Linked DNA regions of Canis lupus familiaris. The protein of the gene in region 1 interacts with the protein of each later gene in a biochemical or structural test. Links are inferred from orthologs where the notes say so. Each region holds a gene or a part of one and is shown on either strand. Other genes may lie near its edges. The genes, in order: PCNA, SPRTN and RFC1.

The links.
Region 2: the proteins of PCNA (region 1) and SPRTN form a complex in vitro, tested with the Homo sapiens proteins (4 studies listed by BioGRID). The link is inferred for Canis lupus familiaris from reciprocal best matches to the Homo sapiens genes PCNA and SPRTN.
Region 3: the proteins of PCNA (region 1) and RFC1 form a complex in vitro, tested with the Homo sapiens proteins (5 studies listed by BioGRID, with this or other methods). The link is inferred for Canis lupus familiaris from reciprocal best matches to the Homo sapiens genes PCNA and RFC1.

What each region holds. Positions count from the first base shown.
Region 1 is NC_049245.1:16,928,870-16,932,469, forward strand, and holds the start of PCNA (proliferating cell nuclear antigen), read left to right. Parts: upstream 1-1,026; 5' UTR 1,027-1,222; coding exon 1,223-1,443; intron 1,444-2,503; coding exon 2,504-2,601; intron 2,602-2,769; coding exon 2,770-2,837; intron 2,838-3,600. UniProt on the Homo sapiens protein: Auxiliary protein of DNA polymerase delta and epsilon, is involved in the control of eukaryotic DNA replication by increasing the polymerase's processibility during elongation of the leading strand.
Region 2 is NC_049225.1:8,498,827-8,502,651, reverse strand, and holds the end of SPRTN (DNA-dependent metalloprotease SPRTN), read left to right. Parts: intron 1-523; coding exon 524-788; intron 789-1,708; coding exon 1,709-2,457; 3' UTR 2,458-3,280; downstream 3,281-3,825. UniProt on the Homo sapiens protein: DNA-dependent metalloendopeptidase that mediates the proteolytic cleavage of covalent DNA-protein cross-links (DPCs) during DNA synthesis, thereby playing a key role in maintaining genomic integrity.
Region 3 is NC_049224.1:73,697,547-73,701,271, reverse strand, and holds part of RFC1 (replication factor C subunit 1), read right to left. Parts: intron 3,698-3,725; coding exon 3,599-3,697; intron 1,998-3,598; coding exon 1,843-1,997; intron 1,735-1,842; exon of another isoform or gene 1,718-1,734; coding exon 1,600-1,717; exon of another isoform or gene 1,568-1,599; intron 1-1,567. UniProt on the Homo sapiens protein: Subunit of the replication factor C (RFC) complex which acts during elongation of primed DNA templates by DNA polymerases delta and epsilon, and is necessary for ATP-dependent loading of proliferating cell nuclear antigen (PCNA) onto primed DNA.

The DNA.
Region 1 (3,600 bases):
GAGTCCCACGTCGGGCTCCCTGCATGGAGCCTGCTTCTCCCTCTGCCTGTGTCTCTGCCTCTCTCTGTCTCTGTGTGTCTCTCACGAATATCTTAAAAAAAAAAAAAAAAAAATTTACAAATGGGGACACCTGAGTGGCTCAGTGGTTGAACATCTGCCTTTGGCTCAGGGCCTGATCCCGGGGTCCTGGGATTGAGTCCTGCATCAGGCTCTGTGCAGGGAACCTGCTTCTCCCTCTACCTACGTCTCTGCCTCTCTGTATCTCTCATGAGTAAATAAAATATTTAAAATCTTATTTATTTGAGAGAGAAAACATATTGGGGAGGGGCAGAGGGAGAAGGAGAGGTAGAAGCAGACTCCTCCCGGAGCCAGGAGCCAACCTTGGATCTAGATCTCAGGACCCTGGGGTCATGACCTGAGCCAAAGGCAGAGGCTCCACTGACTGAACCACCCACGTGCCCCCTGTAACAAGTTTTTAATATGCAGATCAGAATTTTCACGCAAATAAGCTTAGATTTTTAAAACAAGATTGCTGATATCTGTATTTAGGAAAATATTGTAGATTGCAATCTTTCAGTGGTCAGCTTAGCAACATTTATCAACACATCACTTCTACGATAGCAAAAATAAAATGCACTTTTAAAACAGCTGTATTCCTCGGGCCGCCAGGCGTCTTCCTCCCGGTGGGCTGGATTTGCCTTTCACTTTCACGGCCAAAGCCTTTCTAGTCCTGAAGCGGGAGGTTGAGGAGGCAGCACAAGGCTGTAACTCAAAGAACCCCAACCTGGGTCTGGCCGTCACAAGCCCAGACTTGTTCAGCGCCCGGCGTCGCGAGCGGGGTGGAGAAGGCAGTCCCGCGGGAGGCGGAGGCGCCCCGCTCCTGCCCCGCCCCTGCCCCGCCCCTGCGGCCGACCCTTCAGTGGACGTTCAGGGAGGACGGGCTGGAGCGGAGGCCAAGGACACTATTGGCCCCGGAGTCCGTCCGCCAGGGAGTGGGCGGGGCAACGTGGTGACGCGCCACGCGCGGCGCAGAGGCGGAGCGCGCGCGCCAGCAGACGCGGCGCTATTAAACGGTTGCAGGCGGAGCGGGCGGGCGGTGATCGTCCCGGCTCCCCGGCCCTCGCCGCTGCGTTCGCCAGCTCGCTCGTACCCCGTGACGCCAAGCCGGCTACAACTTCCTCTTCGTCTCCGCCTGCAGCTGTGTCGTTGTGACTCTGCCACCATGTTCGAGGCGCGCCTGGTCCAGGGCTCCATCCTGAAGAAGGTGCTGGAGGCGCTTAAGGATCTCATCAACGAGGCCTGCTGGGACATCAGCTCGAGCGGCGTAAACCTGCAGAGCATGGACTCCTCCCACGTCTCCCTGGTGCAGCTCACTCTGCGCTCCGAGGGCTTCGACACGTACCGCTGCGACCGCAACTTGGCCATGGGTGTGAACCTCACCAGGTGAGCCCCTGGGGTCGCCAAGGGCCGGGCTCTCTCGCACCCCCACCTCCGGCTCTTGGCGGGAGCGCCTGCGAGCTAGGTCCTCATTGGCTGGCGTGGGCGACCCGCGCCTTCTCATTGGCCTGCGGCGCCCAGGGGCGGGATCTAGCGGAGCGCGCGGTTCCGAAAGCCCGCGCTGGCAGCCGCGCGAACCGGCGTTTTCCGCGCCAAAGTCACAAAGCGGGTGGTGGCGGGAAAATGACGGGCTTCTTCGTGGTGCCGGGAAAAGACTTACACAGCACCTTGGCCACTAAGTGCCGGCGGCCTTGGATGAGAACCCTTTGGCTTGACTGCCTTTAACCGCTTTATAATGTGCCCGAGTTACGTCACCCTACCTAGGGACCATCGGTTGATTCTGGTCCTTTATTATTAGGAAGTTGCAGTGAGCACCCTAAGTTCCTGGACTTAAAATTTCTCCAGGGCAGTGGCTTTCAACTCTTTGATCACTACATGTCTAGTACATGAACATGTTTAAAGATTTTATTTATTCGTGAGAGACGCAGGCAGAGGGAGAAGCAGGCTCCCTCAGGCTCCACATAGGGAGCTCTATGTGGGACTCCATCCCAGGACCCCGGGATCACGACGTGAGCCAAAGGCAGGCGCTCAACCACTGAGCCACCCCGCCTTCCAAAAACATGTTCAAATATGAGGCTTATGAGAAATAGTTGACCTCGACTGCATGCAGTGTGTATTAATAAGTATCTTAGCTCATTTTTCTTGACCGTCAGGACCCAATAATTTGCTTCGCGCACCAAAGGGATTTGCAATTTGCAATGCGTGAAATGCTGCTCTTTTATTTGTATCTAGAAGTGAAATTGCTCATGGTAGGCTGTGTGCCTGTTTAAGAATAAATACTGCCAAATTGGGTTACAAAATGGCCGGATTAGTTTACCTCACTCACCAATTCCTCAGACGACCTTGGTAAATAAAGATGGTAACTCCTTGTTTTAATTGGGTCAGAAATCTTAACGATTCTGAGAACGTTGTGGCAATTTTAAATCCTGTGTCTTCCGTGTTCTAGCATGTCCAAAATACTAAAATGTGCTGGCAATGAAGACATCATTACACTAAGGGCTGAAGATAATGCGGACACCTTGGCACTAGTATTTGAAGCTCCAAGTAGGTGATACTCTTCTACTAAATTATATTAGAGGAAATTTAAATGCAGTGTAAAAGATTTCTCTTAGTTGTGAAAAACTTAAGAAAATGTTCCTAATGATTGTAAAGCTTATTAATGGCATAGTTATAAACTTACATACTTTTCTTCAATCTGCTTTCTTTTGGTAGATCAAGAAAAAGTTTCAGACTATGAAATGAAGTTAATGGATTTAGATGTTGAACAACTTGGAATTCCAGTGAGTATTAAGAGTAGACTTTAAAGCAGTGTTAGGGGATCCCTGGGTGGCTCAGCGGTTTGGCACCTGCCTTCCGCCAGGGGCATAATCCTGGAGTCCCAGGATTGAGGCTCCCTGCATGGAGCTTGCTTCTCCCTCTTCTTGTGTCTCTGCCTCTCTCTCTGTCTCTGTGTCTTTCATGAATAAATAAATAAAATCTTAAAAATAAAAATAAAGCTGTGTTAGCAGAAATTCATTCAGGTGAGGTTTATCAACATAAGAAATGTTGAGATGTTTAAAATCCTTACTATCTTATCTTCTTGTTTTGTTTTGGTAAGCAGTTGGGCCTGCTTGCACACGCATCATCATTTGTAGGCCATACCCTAATGTCCTCTTGATTTAGCCCTGGAGGGGGATTTAGGGGGAGGCTCTTTTCTCCTGGATAGTGCATTTATCATTAAAGATTTAAACTTTAATTTTAGTTTTCTTAGTATGATTATTCTTATGACATATTGTTTTAAAAATTTTTTTTTAATTTTTATTTATTTATGATAGTCACAGAGAGAGAGAGAGAGAGAGAGAGAGAGAGGCAGAGACACAGGCAGAGGGAGAAGCAGGCTCCATGCACCGGGAGCCTGATGTGGGATTCGATCCCGGGTCTCCAGGATCGCGCCCTGGGCCAAAGGCAGGCGCCAAACTGCTGCGCCACCCAGGGATCCCCATACTTGTTTTATATCTGCATTTATTTTTTGAGTTAGAGATTATGTTATGGAAATACACAATG
Region 2 (3,825 bases), on another chromosome or scaffold:
GAGTGGGTGTAGCAGAGACTGCATCAGGCAAAATGCTTGTGTAGGTGGGGTTGAGCATTTCTAGGAAATAGTCCAGAATCCTTTGGTATTGTTACTTACAGGGGAAAATTTCAGTTGAACAGTAGGAAGGAATAATTGTTATTTATTATGGCATTATATAAAATTTTGTCTTTATCCTGATTTTTGATCATTTTAAAATTTGGTTTATCCTGATTTTTGATCATTTTAAAATTTGGTTTCTAAAACTTTTAGCATTGACAGGCTTTTGTGGGCTAAAAAGTTTTTTGTTTTCTAATCTCACATCTTTCTATCTTTACACAGTTTTTGAAGTATTATTAACTGCTGCTGTCCCATTAAAATGAACTTTGGGAACAGAAGCTAAATCTGTTTGCTGCCTTCTCCAAAGTGTCATTGCAGAGAGCTCTCAGAAACTGGAAAGTTTAAACACAGGAAGGCTGCTTCTGTATTTTTTTAAAATTGTTAACTTTGCCTCTTTAACACTGAGCACTTTCTCTCAACCCAGGTGTACCATACTTTCCACGATGAGGTGGATGAGTACCGGCGACACTGGTGGCGCTGCAATGGGCCTTGTCAGTACAAGAAACCCTACTACGGTTATGTCAAACGTGCCACCAACAGGGCACCCTCTGTGCATGACTACTGGTGGGCTGAGCACCAGAAGACCTGTGGCGGCACCTACATCAAAATCAAGGAACCAGAGAATTACTCAAAAAAGGGCAAAGGAAAGACAAAAGTAGGAAAGCAGCCAACAGCAGCTGAAAATAAAGGTAACTTTGTCTGCTCTTCCATGCTTGCTGGGACCACAGCTAACAGTATAAAAGCCAGGGCTGTCCTCTGGAGAACTGGTGTTAAGATGAGCTTAAGGATTATTTCAAGTATAGACATTTGTAAGTGTGGATTTAAACAAATCCCATTGTTTGTGAAGTGATGGTAGAAAAATGTACTTTGCGTAGTGTGAGTTAAAGTAGAAATTGTGTTCACGGATAATATTGGAGTTAGGTAAAGGCCCTTTCCCTATCTTGACTCACTGAGTCATTGGGAAACAGAAGGCAAAATGATTGTCAAAATAAAAACAGTAATTCAAATAACAATGCCCGGAATTACTCCTAACCCACCCCTTCCTATCAGTTGGCTTCTAGCCGAGTGACTTCTGCTGTTGATGTATGTATTTTCATTGGGAGAAGAATGGGAAAAGGATATGACATGTATGTGCTGGTACTTCATCTTTGAGATTTATCCCTTTCCTATGAAGTTCAGAGTCCCTGCCTTTTGAAGAGGGAACCAGGTCACTAAAGTTAAGACTTCTTCCCTTGGGAAATTGTTGGTTGGATCCAGAAACATTAATAATAAGCTACTTTTCCTAAATTCAAAAATGGTGAGTGAGTAGAGGAGCTAGAGAAGAATTTATGTGGAGAGGTTATAGATCCCCATTCTGTGTGAGTAGGGGGAAAGAAAAGAATGTGGGAGGAGACTTTTCCCTCTGGAACTAAACTTGAAGAATGCTAAGTGATTTTCAAGGTACAAGTTCCTTTGCTAGTGGGCTTGGGATGCTAGATTTTTATTTTTTGTGTTCTCTCCCTCCCTGAGCCCCCTGACCACTGTAGATACGTCCTTCTCCCAAGCTCATTAGCTTAACACTTGTTACTGTATTAATTTCGAGTCAAGAGAACTTTTGCTTCTTTTGTAGATAAATCTAACAGAGGTGAGACCCAGCTGTTGATCCCTTTCAGTGGGAAAGGATATGTTCTAGGAGAAACGAGCAACTCGCCTTCATCGGGAAAGTTTGTTACTTCGTATGCTATTAATAAAACCCAAGATCTTTTAAGTCAAGACCATTCAGCAAAAGCTCTCAGACCCAATTCTAAAATTGAGGTGAAATTTGAACAGAATGGTTCAAGTAAAAAAACTCCTCTAGTGTCCCCTATTCTTACTGCCAGTCACCAAAATGTCTTAAGCAACTACTTTCCTAGGGTCTCAGTTGCCAACCAAAAGACCTTCCGAAGTGTGAATGGATCTCCAACAAAAAGCCTAACAACCGGTGACATCACTAAAAACTCCATCTCTTCTGGATCTCACAAAAGGGTCACCTCTTCTAAGATATCCCTGAGAAATTCTTTAAAAGCACCGGAATCAACATCTGTGACTGCACCCCAGGATGTGAGTGGGCCTGAGGAGAAACTCCCAAGTAAACGACCCAGGCTAGAAGACAAGACTGTTTTTGACAATTTTTTTATCAAGAAAGAGCAAGTACAAAGTGGTGGAAATGATCCAAAGTGGAGTTCACATCCTACAGCTGCAACTCAGGATTCCAGCAGTGCATCCAGCCAGAACAGGATGGTCGATTGTCCTGTTTGTCAGAATGAAGTGTTGGAGTCTCAGATTAATGAGCACTTGGACTGGTGCCTTGAAGGTGGTAGCATCAAAGTCAAAAGTTGAAGAAGTCTTTGAAAGACAAATGGGTGTCACATGCCACCTATATTACCCTGCTAACATAGTGTCAGCCACTCAGGAAGTTCTGGTGAACATGAAGATTTGTAGGTTTTAATGTAGTTCTATTTTATAGATATATACATGAGGTTGCAATGGAAAATATTCTATGTCGAAAGGTGCTATATTCACTTTTGCCTTGTGTATCCTGTAGCTCAGAGTTTGTTCTGCATGTGTACATGTATAGTTTTTAGATACTTATGTTCTTCCTTGCTCTTAAATTGCATTTAAATCTGTTAATCTTTTTATTTATATACCTTTCCTCAAAATACATTGGAATCCTGACAGGTATTTGGTTAAACTGAGTATTTCTTTGTTCATATTAAAACTCAGTCATAGAACTGAAGCTAAACATTGGCCAAAATTACAATTTCGAGGACAAAGTATATCAGTTGTTGTAGGGTACTCAAAGTTTTTTGTTTTTTGGTTTCTTTTTTTAATCTCAGCAGGAAATATATTTTATACATCTCCAAGAATTTTATTTCTGTCATCACTAAAAGGTGGCAGCTGGTTTTAGGTTAAAGCATAGAAGGAATATAGTCAAATAAACGTTTTAGACGACTACTCCTGCAATCCTGTAGGCCAGAGTTGAGTGGTTTTCTCAAGATGTAGCCAGATGAGTGGTTCACCTGCTAAGGAGCTGGTGTAAGTCACATCACAACAGCCTCTTTTATGTTAACAGTGGAACACTGTCTGGAAACAGTATTATGAACCTTAAGCCAAAGTTGTAACCGTTAAAATAAAAAGGAATACCATTTGTGCATTTTAAAAAGTAATTTCTTTTTAAAAACATTCTTACTGTGTTGTGGCAGAGACCAAGATCCTTTCGTCCGTTCACTTTCTCATGGCTGTACCACTAGCATGTTGGCCTGGTCCCAAGAGTTGAATTCACAGGTTTTCTTTCTCCTGAGCTATGTTGCGACATGACCTCCACCTACCCGAGGTGCCAGCTCCTCTGTGTGAACTTGGCCTTGGTGCTCCTGGGTGACGGCAGCCTCGGGTCAGGGAGGGAACAGTGCACCTCCTGCATTCGTGTCCGCACGCTTCCTAGTCTGCAGCCACAACCCCTGAGGGTAATCACTGTTTCTGTTACGTCTCTGCCACCCTGGGGTGCTTGAGTGTGGTTTTAACTTCATGAAGTACTACCCTGTTGCCACACTGTAGAAGTTCATTCTAGGTCGTTGCTTTGAGTGTACAAATACGCCAGGGTTTATTCAGCCATTCTAATATTAACGGGCATCTGAATTATTTCCAACCGGGGGCTGGCTGTGACGGAGACTGCTGCTGAAAACATGCTTCCTCGTTTCTGTTGGGCGT
Region 3 (3,725 bases), on another chromosome or scaffold:
ACCCCTTCCCTCTGTCTCTCATCTGTTGGTAGGGGAAGCTACTCCCAGAGAAAACAACAGATAAGTCCAAAACACGTTATGGCCCTGAGAGAGATCTTGCTAACTAGGTCTCCGCACCAACTGACCCCAAGAAACTTGATGCACAAAGGATTTTAAGAGGAACATGACTGTCTTTAACATAAACTATTAACAGCACAGGTAGATCAAAGCATAGAAAACTGAATAGAGTATTAAGTAAACCGACACTAGAGAAAAGATTTTTATTTATTTTTTAAAGATTTATTTATTCATGAGGAGGGGGCAGAGAAATAGGCAGAAGGAGAAGCAGGCTCCCTATAGGGAGCCCAATGCAGGACTCGATCCCAGGACCCTGGTATCACAACCTGAGAGCCAAAGGCAGACGCTCAACCTCTGAGCCACCCAGGTGCCCCAAGAAAAGATTTTTAAAAAGGTATTCTTGAATATCTTCTTTATCCAGGGCTTATACTTTCTTGAAGTTGGAATTACACATAAATTTTGTATCCTGCTTTATTCTAATAATATTCTCTCATAAGCATTTTTTCATATTAGACAATCTTTTTTTTTTATATTAGACAATCTTTATAAATAATTTTAAGGACTGCGTAATAGTCCATCAAGAGTATTTATCATAATCATTCTCCTATTGCTAGACATGGAGATTTTCTCCAATGTCTTAGAGTATCAAAACTAATATAGTATTTTTGTACAGCAATCTTTTCCTATGTTTAAAGTTATTTCTTTAGGATAAATTCTTAAAGGTACAATTTTTAGTTTAAAAAGTGAACACTTGGGGATCCCCAGGTGGCTCAGCAGTTTAGCGTCTGCCTTCTGCCCAGGGCGTGATCCTGGAGTCCCAGGATCGAGTCCCACATCAGGCTCCCTGCATGGAGCCTGCTTCTCCCTCTGCCTGTGTCTCTGCCTCTCTCTCTCTCTCTCTCTCTCTCTCTCCCTCTGCCTGTGTCTCTGCCTCTCTCTCTCTCTCTCTCTCTCTCTCTCTGTCTCTCATGAATAAATAAATAAAATCTTTAAAAAATAATAAAAAATAAAAAAATAAAAAGTGAACTCTTGTAAAACATAATAGAAAGGATTCTTTACATCCAGAATGCATCTTTATTTTTTGTTTTCCAACAATGTATAAGTAGAATTAAGAGAGGAGGAGGCCTCCCAAAAGTCCCTTGCTTATTATTACTCACATATCAGCTGCTGACCTGCCCTGGTTGCATTACTTCAACTAGGAGAGCCAAAAAATGACAAAAAAGAAATGGACTCTTAAGGTAAAGCAGAGCAAATAAAACTTTTGACTGACATCTTACTTACGTCAAGAATCTAATGTTCCTATTTCCCTATGTCAATTTACATAAAACATTTTGAAACCCTGAAAAATAAGGCTTTTTAAAAAATTTTTATTAAGAAATCACAATTGTGACCACAGAGTGATTTAATTTAGAACAAGACTTTATTTTTGCCCTAAGAGCCATATGTTTATCTGGTATTTCAAATAACTCTACGAACTAAAAAGCTATTTTGTTCTCTTTAACTAAAGCAGAGTCTGCATTTTAAGGAGAGCCCTGTGCTTACCTGTGTAGGCAGAAGACTCCAGTTTTGCTTACTCCGGATCTGACGGTCCACTAGGTCACCATCACATATGCTATCTGCTGCTCTGCTTAAAAGCATCAAGTGCTTTTTCATGTCGCCCCTGCATAAATAAACCAGTCTGGATTACACCACTGTCCGTATCTCATACCCCTCTTTCCCAGGTATATGGCCTTCGCTGTGCCAGGAGGGTATGAATTCTATCCCTCACTAACTCTGAACACTCACCCTGCAGCTACAGGTTTCACATGTAAGTAGTTCTCCTGGACGAAGAGGGGTGCTATTGAATAATCATGAAAAAAGAGATCTGACTTATCCACAAGTGACATGTGAGCGGTCTCCTCTCCAGCTGCAAACACTTTCCGGGCAACATCAAACGGGCCCTAAAAAAAGGGAAGGACACACCTAATAGAATGGCCAATGTCCAAAATACTGACAACATCAAATGCTGGCAAAGATGTGGAGCAATACGAACTCTCATTTATTGCTAGCAGGATTGCAAAATGGTATAGTCATTTAGAAGACAGATTGGCAGTATTTTTTACAAAACTATACTCTTACCATTCCATCCACAATTGTCCTCCTTGGTATTTATCCAAATAAACTGAAAACATACTACACAAAAACCCTGCACATGGATCTTTACAGCAGCTTTATTCGTAACTGACAAAACTTGGAAGCAATCCAAATGTCTTTCAAAAGGTGAATAAACTGGTACATCCAGACACTGGAATATTATACAGCACAGAAAAGAAATGAGCTATAATAAGGCCATAGAAAATATATGGAGAAACCTTAAATGAGTATTACTAATTCAAAGAAGCCAATCTGGGGGCCCCTGGGTGGTAGTTGGTTAAGCATCCAACTCTTGATTTTGGTTCAGATCATGATGTCAGGGTCGTGAGATAAAGCCCTGCATCATAGAGCCTGTTTAAGACTTTCTCTCCTAACCCCCTGCCCCTCCCCCAGTCATACTCGCTCACTCTCTCAAGAAAGAAAAAAAGAAAGAAGCCAACCTAAAAAGTTTATATACTGTATGATTCCAACTACATGACTCATTGTGAAAACTGATGCAACTAGAGACAATAAAAAGATTAGTGATTGGGGTGCCTTGGGTGGCTCAGTCAGTTAGGCGGCTGAGTTGATTTTGGCTCAGCTCATGACCTCAGGGTCATGAGATCAAGCCCTGTGTCGGGCTCCACACTAAACCTAAAGTCTGCTTATCCCTCTCTCTCTGCTTCTCCCCCCTGGCTCATGCTCTCTCTCTAAAATAAATAAATAAAATCTAAAAAGATTAGTGATTGTCAGGGGTTGGAAGAAGTGATGGATAAACAGGAGGCAGTGAAAGTATTCTGTGTGATATACAGTGGTAGATAAAAGCTTGATACATTTGTCAAAACCCATGGAAGCTGTATCAAGAGTGAACTAACCCTGATGTAAACTATGGACTTTGGGTGATAATGATGTAGGTTCAACTATAACAAATGTATCACTCTGGTGGGGGTACTGATAGAAGAAGAGGTTGCAGGAGTCTGGAGGCAGAGAATAAGAAGGGAAGTCTTTGTACTGTGTGCTAAATCTCACTATGAAACTAAAACTGCTCTTAGACCTCTAGTTTCAAGTTTCAGACAGGTTATTAAATGATAAGCCATTTGAAATAGATTATTCTCAAAGTTCCAAAACTTCAAAACATGAAATCTATACATAAGGGACTCTGAAAAGGCCATTTTATAACTACTGAAGCATGAATATAATTTAAAACTTCTATATCTCATAATTTATACATAATATATGCTAACAAACAGTCCTTGAAGAAAAATTAATCTGAACTAGAAAATCTTTTATAGCAGCTGTCTTTCTTATTATAAATATCCACAGGTTCAATAGGCGTTATCAAGGAACTATAATAACTACTTCTATTAAGTTAATATGAACAGAACAAGAAATGCTTTAGCTTGAGAAAGTAAATGGAAATTTATTTTACCAGTCTGATATCCTTTTTGGCTCTATGAGAATCAGCCTTGGCCTGGTCATAGGTTAGTGCCTTACTGCGTGCACACCACATACTCAGATTGTGTAAAACCTAACAGAAATCATAAATAAGACATGGT